2 linked regions of the Macaca mulatta genome follow. The protein of the gene in region 1 purifies or fractionates together with the protein of each later gene. This does not show direct contact. Links are inferred from orthologs where the notes say so. Each region holds a gene or a part of one and is shown in the gene's direction. Other genes may lie near its edges.

Region 1 (5,721 bases):
ATGATTAAAATTGTGAAAGTATTTTGAATGAGCTACTTATTAATCCTTAGGCTTCCTTATGCCATTTAATTCTTATTTTTGTTAAATATATTTCTGGGTTCTGAAAGAAGCATTCAAATACCTAATCCTCCTGTCTCTTCTGAAATATGCTTTCTTTGTTTTTTTTTTTTTTTTTTTTTTTGCTAAAGAGGTGGAAATAAGATGATGTTGAATATTATTTTTTCCTAGGAAATATGTTACAAGTAGATAAAATGATTTTTGCATTTTGGATATTATTTTTTTTCCAGAAAATATTACTGAAGCAAAATTGAACAAGTAAAGCAGAACTGTGGATGGCAGGCTAGAAAAATTCGTGGTCGCCATTGTCACACCACAACCTGCAGCAGCTGTATTCTCAAGTCCCTCCCTCCCACGCCCTGCTCAGCCTGCCAGCCTGGCAGGAATGAATGGGCTCCGCAGAGTGCTGTGTGAGTAGTTGCTGCCCACCCTGAAAATCTGCCGCTGAAAACCAAAAGGAAAAATTATTTGTAAAAAATAAATTTCCAACTTTAGTGGCCAAACTTACTTACCTCTGAAATTTCATCACCAACATCCAGTGGTACGAAATCCAGTGACTCACTCTGCATAGCCCATCGTTGCTGAGAATGGAGCCTTTCTAAATAGCAAGACAATGTTACTCCAATTTATTTCCTAGGGGTGAAAGCAAAGCCTTTTTGTCCCAAGGGGCAACTGAGCAACCACCAGAGTCTCTAGTTGAATAGCAAGGGTGTGAGGCTGGCTAAAATTCCCACAGTCAGAAGCCCACTCGCAGGAGGATATTTACCAAATTGACATAAGAACTGCATAAAAAGTAAATGCAGTTATTGAGCTGATGTTTCACAGTTGTCTGTAGATGGAGGCAACATTGCAAAATAGTCTTCTTTTTACATTATATTATTCTCTTCTTCTTTTTAATTTGGTGTCTTGGTTATTACTATTATTTTGCTTGTTACTTTCCAGACAAAAGTCCAGTGCAGATATGTAACTGCACACATGTAGTACTAACTTCTGAGCTCAATTATTTCTCCTTGTATTTTCCCAATTTTATATCAGGAAAGATGATTCATTCCAAAGGACAATGCACCACACAAAATGTGTTACATAGACTTCTCATAAAGGAATACCTCTAGTAAACTATTATAACTACTCTACGTGCACTTGCTGTTGATTATTGCCATGTTAGAACTATTTGTTCGCTTCTTTATTTAGTATGGTTATTATTTCCATCTTCCAGTTTTATTTAGCTATTCGAGTGTGCATGTGCCTGCAAAAGAAGCTCTGAAAATAAGTTAGTTGAACCTGAGAAGCCATTTTGAATGACTGTATGACTAAATGTTTTTTTTAAATTAAAAAAAATCACAATTACCCAGACCGTTTTGAGCATTACGCCCATTTTCTCTCCCACTTTATTTTTAAAGCAATTAGAGATATTGAACCCTAACAAAATGTAGTCGAGTTTAATATACTGCGAGGGAGGGGCTGGCAGTAATTTTCCTTTAAATATTTAATCTGAACATAAATCTGTTATTAAGGGTAGGGGGAAAAAACCTCACATAGATAATTTTAACTGCATTTTGGGGTTTAAGCAACATAAAGTCTTCCAACCCCAGTCCCCTTTCTTCTTCCGCCCCTCCCCGACCCCACCCCATAATGGATGCTCGGCAGAATGCTTCTGCACGGTCTCTTTGTCTAAAGGATGCAAACAGTCTACGGATGCTAGAGAAAAAGGGGTGGGGGAGAGATTACCTCATCCCACGTCGTTTGCACCAATCACCAGTCTCCTGTCCTGGCTTCTCTGGGCAGATTGGGGGTCTGGACCAACAGGAACAGGCCCCGGCCCATCCCCATGGTGACCGAGTTGTATATATGGAGCCGCATCCGCCCATGTGCCGCAGGTTCTCTTACATCGACCGCCTAAGAGTCGCGCTGTAAGAAGCAACAACCTTCTCCTCCTTGTCTCCGCCATCTGCTCTGCAGTCGCGAAGCAGCAACCATGGTGAGAATCGGCTTTGGCTCTTTGTGGCCGTTGGGTGGAGTCAGCGCCCCCAGGCTCTGCTTGGAAAATCTTTAAGCTCTTTTCTTTCGTAAGCTCTCTGGGCGAGGGTGGTGGTGTGTTTTGTGAGGTTTAGCTTTACCCCAAATCCTCCAGCTCCGCCGCCGCCGCAGTGCGGGTGCAGGAACCCGGCCAGGACTGCGCCCAGGGCGCTGCAGAGCGCTGGGGAGGAACAAAGGCGGCGCCTGGGCGCCTGTGTTGTCCTACAGCCTTTCGGGGTCGCGGGCAGCCCGTCTGCCGCAACCGAGGGGTCTCGGGCGTCCCGGCTGGGTCCAGTGTCTGTGCGCACGGTTTCGCAGACGCCGAGGGGCCCCTTTCTGTCTCGCCTCGTTCTCTGGGGACCGGGAGAGGAGGAGGCACCCAAAAAGAGCGGGGGCGTTGGGCGAGCTGGGGGATGTGGGAGGGGGAACGGGAACAAAGCGCAGCCTGGGGTTAGCGTGGGAAGACCCCTCGCGGTCGTTGGCGTTTTGGAAAGATAACCACACATTCCCGGGGAAACATGGTGAGTTTCTACTGGAGCCCCCGGCAGCGGGTGTCAGGGCGGCGCAGGGGCGGGGTTGTTTGTTTCTGGCTTCTATGGCGTTGGAGCCACTGGGCGGGGTTCGCCCTCACTAAACCTCCTCTGTCAGGAGCTGACTTAAAAAAAACTTTTCATCATTGCGGAACTGTAGGCTCCAAAAGGGTTTTCTTCGCTATTATAATTAAGATGACCTTTTTTTTTTTCTCTTGAGCAAAATCACAATTCACTTGACAAACTCTTTAATGTCTGGTCTGGGGACGCCCTGCCCTGACCGACTGAAGTGTGTGTGTGTGTGTGTGTGTGTGTGTGTGCGTGCGTGCTGCTCGTTCAGCGAGGGAGAAAGCCTACTTTGTGAGCCCCAGGGTACCCTGATGGTCGTGTGTGTGTGTGTGTGTGTGTGTGTGTGTGTGTGTGTGTGCGCGCGCTGCTCGTTCAGCGAGGGAGAAAGCCCACTTTGTGAGCCCCAGGGTACCCTGATGGTCAGGACCAGGGAAACGCCCTTCCCCGCCGCCCCCCTCCGCCCCGCCCCCACCACATCAGCGAATAGACAATGAAAGTGGTAGCCCTAAAGACCACAGAGAAGAAAACCTCTATTGGATGCAAAGAATATGAATATTATGTGGTGGGTAGAGAATCTCAGGATTAAAATACTATTTTGTTGTTTTAAATAAATATTTCACTATCGTTCCACTGGGCTTTTATTCTTTGTTTGCTACCTTTTCATGTGATGCTTGTTTCTAACTTAGGAACGTGTGTGTGTGTGTGTGTGTGTGTGTGTGTGTGTGTTTTAAGATACGGATAATTTTTCAGCTTTTACAGTGGAGAAGATCTGGAAAAACCTTTTTCTTTAAAAAAAGGAATGAAATTGCTACAGACAAAGAATTATACTCCGCATCCCGTTGTCTTTTGTTCTAGTGCATCTTCATTAATTCATTTCAATTCAGGCACATGGTCCCGGGCGGGGTCAGAGGAGGAAAACTGGCAAAACAGCACAATGAGATCATGTAGGCAGTTGCTGGAAATAGAGCTTGCTCTGTTAAATAATGTAGCAGACAGTACAGGCTAGCACCAGGCACAGCAAATACAGCAATGCAGCAATGCAGAAGGCAGAAGCAGACCTTGTCTAAACCCCTTGTATTGATGGATTCTGCAGACAGACTGCAGAAGGGTGTGGCTTCTTGCCTCAGCTGCAGTACAGATGTCCATGTTATAATATCAAGTCAGTCCTATTCAGAAGAAACTTTCTTCTTTATTTAAAAGGGAAGAAAGCAGTAAAATTAATCCCAATTATGTCATAATTGAATTTACTTCATTTTACAAAATTTGTGCTTTGAATACTGAATACTTTTTAAATATGAAAAGTCTTTTATTCAAGCATGGTAGTAGGCACAATGGGCTGGTACCATGTGCTGAACAGGGCCAAGGCGACATCATTATTCAGACCACACCCATATGCAGCATTTGCAGCAGGTCATTTTCCTTAATCTTTGTATCGTGCTAGGGATGTGACCTCAAATAATTTTGAAAAATATCTGTATATTATTAGAAATATTTTTAAAAGTTTACTAAAAGTTTGAAATGCTAATACGCCTTAATTTTACAATTTTTTCACTTTTCCTTCCCACAGCGTGAGTGCATCTCCATCCATGTTGGCCAGGCTGGTGTCCAGATTGGCAATGCCTGCTGGGAGCTCTACTGCCTGGAACACGGCATCCAGCCCGATGGTCAGATGCCAAGTGACAAGACCATTGGGGGAGGAGATGATTCCTTCAACACCTTCTTCAGTGAGACGGGCGCTGGCAAGCATGTGCCCCGGGCCGTGTTTGTAGACTTGGAACCCACGGTCATTGGTGAGTTGACCTCAGTAACCCAAGTGAGATCCCAGGATGCTGGGACAGGAGGTCTGTCCTGGGGGGCTCCGCTAGTCACCCACTCACCCACTCCCTCCATCCTTCTCTCCCTCCTTCTCCAGATGAAGTTCGCACTGGCACCTACCGCCAGCTCTTCCACCCTGAGCAGCTCATCACAGGCAAGGAAGATGCTGCCAATAACTATGCCCGAGGGCACTACACCATTGGCAAGGAGATCATTGACCTTGTGTTGGACCGAATTCGTAAGCTGGTATGTTTCTTTTCAAGAATAAAGTAAATTAATGAGCCTAAAGAACACATTTGAAATACTGCTTTTTTTTTTTCAAACAGAATTGAACTGTTATTTTAATAAAGAGTGGAATGAGTCGTTCTTGTGGGGTTTTTATCAGTTAAAATGAACTATTTGGTATCATTTTGTAAATGTTAATGAGAATTTTTTAAAAAGCATTTGTCAAAATAAGATCTAAATCCTGGGAGATGTATGAAAAGTGAAAATATATTTCCTATGATTGTACTACAAAGAACAAAAACTTAACCTTTCCTCTGTTTCTCTCTTTTGTAATAGGCTGACCAGTGCACCGGTCTTCAGGGCTTCTTGGTTTTCCACAGCTTTGGTGGGGGAACTGGTTCTGGGTTCACCTCCCTGCTCATGGAACGTCTCTCAGTTGATTATGGCAAGAAGTCCAAGCTGGAGTTCTCCATTTACCCAGCGCCCCAGGTTTCCACAGCTGTAGTTGAGCCCTACAACTCCATCCTCACCACCCACACCACCCTGGAGCACTCTGATTGTGCCTTCATGGTAGACAATGAGGCCATCTATGACATCTGTCGTAGAAACCTTGATATTGAGCGTCCAACCTATACTAACCTGAATAGGTTAATAGGTCAAATTGTGTCCTCCATCACTGCTTCCCTGAGATTTGATGGAGCCCTGAATGTTGACCTGACAGAATTCCAGACCAACCTGGTGCCCTACCCCCGCATCCACTTCCCTCTGGCCACATACGCCCCTGTCATCTCTGCTGAGAAAGCCTACCATGAACAGCTTTCTGTAGCAGAGATCACCAATGCTTGCTTTGAGCCAGCCAACCAGATGGTGAAATGTGACCCTCGCCATGGTAAATACATGGCTTGCTGCCTGTTGTACCGTGGTGATGTGGTTCCCAAAGATGTCAATGCTGCCATTGCCACCATCAAGACCAAGCGTACCATCCAGTTTGTGGATTGGTGCCCCACTG
Region 2 (5,858 bases), on another chromosome or scaffold:
TTAACTATGTAATTATCCTATTTAATTTAAAAAATAAAGATTCTAACTTTTGAAGTCAAGGCAGTATGAATTGATAGGCTTTTCACACTAAGAAAAATGCTGCTATATGATATTAATAAGGAAGAACATAGCATTAAGCTAAATTTTCTATTGTTGATTTATATTAGCATAGAGAACATATATGATGTTAAATCATTGAAATTTATGTGAAACCTAGCAGACCTCATTGTTCTGATGTTTATCTTACTTAGTAAAAGTTATTTCCAAATGAAACTTTTATCTTTTGAAGATGGGAAGAAATGCTTGATTTTTAACTAAGTTAATTTTAAGTTGACTCTTAAGATAACAGGAAAGCTTTAGGAGCCTAATTAAACCACGTATTTGCTCTAATTACTTTCGCTGGAGACTGCTAGGAAACAAAGGCAGCAAACAGACCTGTTCTGTGTGCAGCAGTCAGGCATTTGATGCTTGTTTTCTCCAGCAGAGGTTTTGAGTAGCACAGAAGTAAAGCTGAGAAGCAAAGCCATCATCTGCAAACAGTGGCTGCAGCCACAAATCACAGGGCAGCCCTTATTCCTGCATAGTGTAGAAAGCATCTTTCACTCTACGTGATTTATGTCCCAACACAGAGAAGCAATCGTCATCACTAACATGATTTTTTAATATCAAGGGTAGCACCACATTTTTATCAACATAATTGGACGTTAGCTCATGAAGCTTATAGAGTTAACACTTACAAGATAATTTATACATGGGGCAAGAATAATAGTTCTTTTATACTGGTTACTTTTCCTCTTAGGTTTTATTCTCTTGAATAATGTAATCCATATTTAATACAACAGCTTAATTTTTAAACTAAATAAATCCACACTTCAATTACCCATTTTTAGTACAAGTTGAGTTTAGAACATTCATGATCATGTATGTAAGAAAAGAAGCAGATGAATTTTTTGTTATCACTGACAAGTCAATTCAGACAACTGCTTTCTTAAAACAGGATTCACAGGAAATTCCTTTTAAAAGCACACATCATTAAAGGCATATATTTCTTCATTAGCTGGAATCGGTGTTAAAGATATTGTGGCTATTTATCCATTTACATTAGTTTATAGGCGTAAAATGCCAGTTACAATGCTTCTGTTTTTTATCCCTTGAGTTGAATTGGCAAACTGAAACAAGAACTCTTTTTTAAGTCTTATTATTTATTATCTGTTGTTTTAAAAATCTGTATTTCAGACTCTTTGTGCAGATTCCAAACTTTACAGTTGTAATAAATGAATATGCAAGGCAACTTTAGCCTTCTGGGATAAACTGTCCTACAATAAAAACAAAAACCAAAAAAAAAAAAATAAGAGACAGGAATCTATAACCAAAAGAGGCTAGAGCATTAAAGCCACCATCTGGTGAGTTCAAGCCAAATAAAAATTCTCTATATTTTGCCTAAACCATCTAGATATCTGTTTTACTTTGCCTATGAGAATCTGACCTAAACTAAATGACTATTCTATATCATTAAGTTGTCCAGGAAAATGAAAATTTAAATATATGTCCGACAAGCTCTAGCATCTGGTACAATTCAGTAATGCTGGTCTGCTCTACAGAGCTTCAGTGTTGAGATAACATTAGGACTGAGAAGGCTTGGTTGACCTATAGGAAGAAAATAATGTTCTAGTCAGACATTCTCCCTGTTTACAAGCACTCATGCTTGCCAGATTATCTTCCACTGTAGGAAATATACAAAGTAAAATTCCTCTGTGAAGCATCTCACTATAGCTCTAATTCCACTTTGCTGCAGCCAAATAATATACCCTTGGTACAAAATGATCAGCACTGTTCATCTTTCACTGTAATAGTTTAGAAATTATTTTCACACTTTTTTTTTAACACATTGATTAATGCTTGATATTTCCCCTTAAAATAGAAAATGTCTCATAAAGTATTATTTCAGAGTGATAAAATTTAACTAGTTTAGATGCTCTCTTATAATTTGTTGACAAGAGAAGAAACATTTCTCCTTTTAAAAGAGCATATAAGCTGAAATATATGAGATCTTTTAAAAGAAGTTTAAAAGTGACCATGGTGACATTTGTATCAACAGCTCCCTTTCAAACTGTGTTACAAACCACATTGTGCCAAATTTACATATCTTTCAAAACAGAAGAGAATCAGGTTAAATGTGATTTTTAAAGTCAACAGAGTAGGAAAAAAAAAACTTGCAACAAATACCACAGAGTTTTAATGTATTTATTATGTAAACAAGTTAAACATAAGAAGAAAATACTAAGAATACAATAGACAACACAAAGAACACATTATAGGAAATAATACAATGTCAGTAAATATATATAAATGTTTCATCTCACTAGTAAAAAAAAAAAAAAAAAAAATGCACATTGAAAGAATAGTGCAGGCCGGGCACGGTGGCTCAGGCCTGTAATCCCAGCACTTTGGGAGGCTGAGGCAGGTGGATCACGAGGTCAGGAGTTCGAGACCAGTCTGGCCAACATGGTGAAAACCCTTCTCTACTAAAAATACAAAAAGTAGCTGAGCATGGTGGTGGGCACCTGTAATCCCAGCTACTTGGGAGGCTGAGGCAGGAGAATTGCTTGAACCCAGGAGGCCGAGGTTGCAGTGAGCTGAGATCATGCCATTGCACTTCAGCCTGGGTGATAGGATAAGACTCCATCTCAAAAAAAAAAAAAAAAAAAAAAGAATAGTGGAATACCATTTCACTCATCTTATCTCTGATTTTTTAAAAATAAGAATGTCCAAAGTGACAATCAGTCTGGTGACAGTGTAAACTAATATGATATTTTTGAAAAATAATGTATTAAATATTCATATCTTTTAGCCTACTAATTCCAGTGCTCAGTTTTTACCCAATGGGAATTTTAAAAGGCTGTAGATACAAGATATTCATTGACATGTTATTTATAATACTGAAAAAAATGAAAACAAATGCCCCAAAGTAGATGATTAATTACATTAATATACATTAATTGTGTTGGATAACATGTTGCTTTTAAATGATATTTAGGCTGATGCATAATAATATGGGAAAATATTGTATAATGTTAAGTGAAAAGAACAGGATGCAAAATTATATAAATTGTAAGCCTACTGCTCTTTGTAAAAACTCTATATGTACAGGAAAAAGGACATGAGGATTAAAAAATCTCCAGTATTTTCCCATTTGTTTTAATATTCATTTTGATATTTTCAATGTCATGTTATTAGTCAAAGCACTTTCAAATATGTTGCCTTATTTGTCACATTTCTCTTTAAAAAAAAAAAAGAGAAGAACCTTGTGCTTGGAAAGACTTATAAAATATCCTAATGACTATCAAACAAAATCCCAAATGAGAGCATTTGTTATCATTTTGGTTATAAATGCAGGGAATCTTGTATGTATGTGACTACGCAGCTGAAATATGTAACAGTCACAGACAGGGCTCTCAGCATCCACTCTGGTTCTGCCTCTAGCTCCCTTCCGAAACCACGGCTGCTTCCGGCACCTGTGAATATATTGCACTTATAAACCATTTGCAGCAGAGGGAATGTTATTGAATGTTTGTAATATCTGGGGGACAACCAAAACCAATTTTTCTTTCTCTTAAATTATAGCATCAAAAAGGAGCCATTTATTCAAATACGTGTGTTCTGTTTCTAACAGAGAGCAAATTCTTAAGAGGGCAGAGATACGGTTTATTTTTATGATATACACATTGCCTAGTTTACTGTGGGATTTTATAAAATAGTACCCTTTGCCGTATCAACCCTAGAGCAAGGGTGAACTGACATTCCATTCTTTCAGAGAGAAATGCTGTTATTTCCTCCTGTCCCTCCATTCCTCTTTGCAAACGTGGTCACTCCTTTGATAATTCACGACCCATCTCCACCATTAAGAGTCTGAAATCCTAGTCAAGGAATAACTGGGGTGGTGGGGGAGAGAGGGAGAGGAGTCTAAAATTCTAGTCAAGAAATAACTGGGGTGGTGAGGGAGAGAGGGGGGCGGGGGGGAGAGAGAGAGAGAGAGAGAAAGGGGGAGAGAGAGAGAGAGAGAGACTTCAGGAGGTTGCACTTACACTCTGGCAGTTTTTCCAGAAATTAGGGAGGCAGCAGCTCTTACTTTTGTGATGTCAACTTGTAGACTGAAATGCATCAAAGCTCCTCACCTTCTTCTTGTTGACGCGAGGGATGTGAAATGCGCTCTAGAATATGCATTCAGCGTGGTCCTTTGTTCTAGGTATGAGCTTTTCTTTTTCTAAAGTTTTTCGGTCTCGCTCAAGGAAAGGAAAGCAATATTTTGAGATTCTTTTAAAGGCACCTTCCAAAGCATTTCCCACAGAAAAATACCTCACAGCCCAACACTGGTTATTTCAGTAAGAATCGAGTCCAATCTTTTCCAATATGGCTGTATACATTGCAGGCCCCCAAATTTGTGCTTTCGTAGTCATCGTTAATCAAATAGGCAGAAACACTGTATTTAGGGAACCTGTGTTTCGTGGGCTAGAAGTGCATTCTGATTAATAAAGATCATGTTCATTTTGAATTCATCGTGGTTATTCGTGTGCCTTAGAGTCGCGGGCTTCGTCAGGGGTGGAGCGGGCTCGGGAGTGCCTGCAGCGCGGTGGGAAGCGGGTCTGAGCGCCCGGGTCATCAACCCGCTTTCAAGGGGTGCCGACACTTTTTCCCAAGAAGCTCGACCAGCCGCCGTGAGCGACTGGAAAGAATAAACCAGACTGTGACAGGAACAGAGAATTTATGTGATTGACAGGGAATACCAGGGCACCCGACTCCGTCCCGGGTCACCATGGCTCTGGGATTTGCACGAGTTTACCACCACCATTAACAGCTATTTGCGTAAGGTTGTTTACCGCCTGAGAGCGCCACAAGCCGACAGCGAAGCCACTTTGGGACCCCAGCCACGCCCCCTCTCCCCTCTCACCCCTCCCTCCCGCCAAACTAATGAATTCGGGACTGCCTTCTTGCCGGACCCTCCCATTGGCTCCTATTCCAGCCAATCAGAGCCTTGCAACAGTTTCACCTGGCTCCCGCTTCCCAAATAAACAAACAAACCGTCCGGCGACTGTGCGGGCTCTGCACCCCGGCGCCGCCGGCACTGCTTGCGCTCCGCGCCCCCCCAACCACCTCCCACCAATGGGGCCCCGACTGTGGCGCCCTCTCCCAGCCCTGATAGCCGGCCGCTTTCTCCTCTGCACCTCCAGGCCTTCTCCCGCCCGCTCATGCCTTCCTCGACTCCGGGGTAGAATCTGCTTGGCCAGAGAGCCCCGCCTCCTCCTCTTAGTCCTCTCTTGGCCCACAGGCCTGGAGATTCACCGGGAGGGTGTTGGCACAGCTGGAGGTGGCTCCGCCTCCCAAGCCCGCCGCCTCCTCCCTTGCACACCTCTACTGGTGGCCGCTCGCGCCCCTCCATTGCGCCGGTAGCAGGATCCGCAGCGGCCGCCGCGTGAGGCTTCGGTCACGTGTTGTTTTGCCCGCTGTCGTGCGCTTAGAGTGGAGTGGGCGGGGGCGCGGGCCAAGGCAGGAGGGGGCTGGGGCGGGCAAACGGGGGTAGACAGCCTCTTCCCTCAACCCTCCCTTTCCTGAATTCCCCCTCCTCCTCGCTCACCTTAAAACCATCGTGCATCACCATGGCGAGTTGCTCCTTCACTCGCGACCAAGCGACAAGAAGACTAAGAGGTGCAGCAGCGGCAGCAGCGGCAGCTCTAGCAGCAGTGGTGACCACCCCGCTTCTTTCCTCGGGAACCCCGACCGCACTCATTGGGACCGGGTCGTCTTGTCCGGGAGCCATGTGGCTCTCCACGGCCACTGGCTCCCGGTCAGACTCCGAGTCC

What was found.
Region 2: the proteins of TUBA1A (region 1) and IRS4 purify together in Homo sapiens (affinity purification with mass spectrometry; 3 studies listed by BioGRID and IntAct, with this or other methods). This does not show direct contact. The link is inferred for Macaca mulatta from reciprocal best matches to the Homo sapiens genes TUBA1A and IRS4.

Annotation. Positions count from the first base shown.
Region 1 is NC_133416.1:56,350,559-56,356,279, reverse strand, and holds the start of TUBA1A (tubulin alpha-1A chain), read left to right. Parts: upstream 1-1,942; 5' UTR 1,943-2,032; coding exon 2,033-2,035; exon of another isoform or gene 2,036-2,591; coding exon of another isoform or gene 2,592-2,594; intron 2,595-4,239; coding exon 4,240-4,462; intron 4,463-4,584; coding exon 4,585-4,733; intron 4,734-5,048; coding exon 5,049-5,721. UniProt on the Homo sapiens protein: Tubulin is the major constituent of microtubules, a cylinder consisting of laterally associated linear protofilaments composed of alpha- and beta-tubulin heterodimers.
Region 2 is NC_133426.1:115,539,249-115,545,106, reverse strand, and holds the start of IRS4 (insulin receptor substrate 4), read left to right. Parts: upstream 1-2,231; 5' UTR 2,232-5,654; coding exon 5,655-5,858. UniProt on the Homo sapiens protein: Acts as an interface between multiple growth factor receptors possessing tyrosine kinase activity, such as insulin receptor, IGF1R and FGFR1, and a complex network of intracellular signaling molecules containing SH2 domains.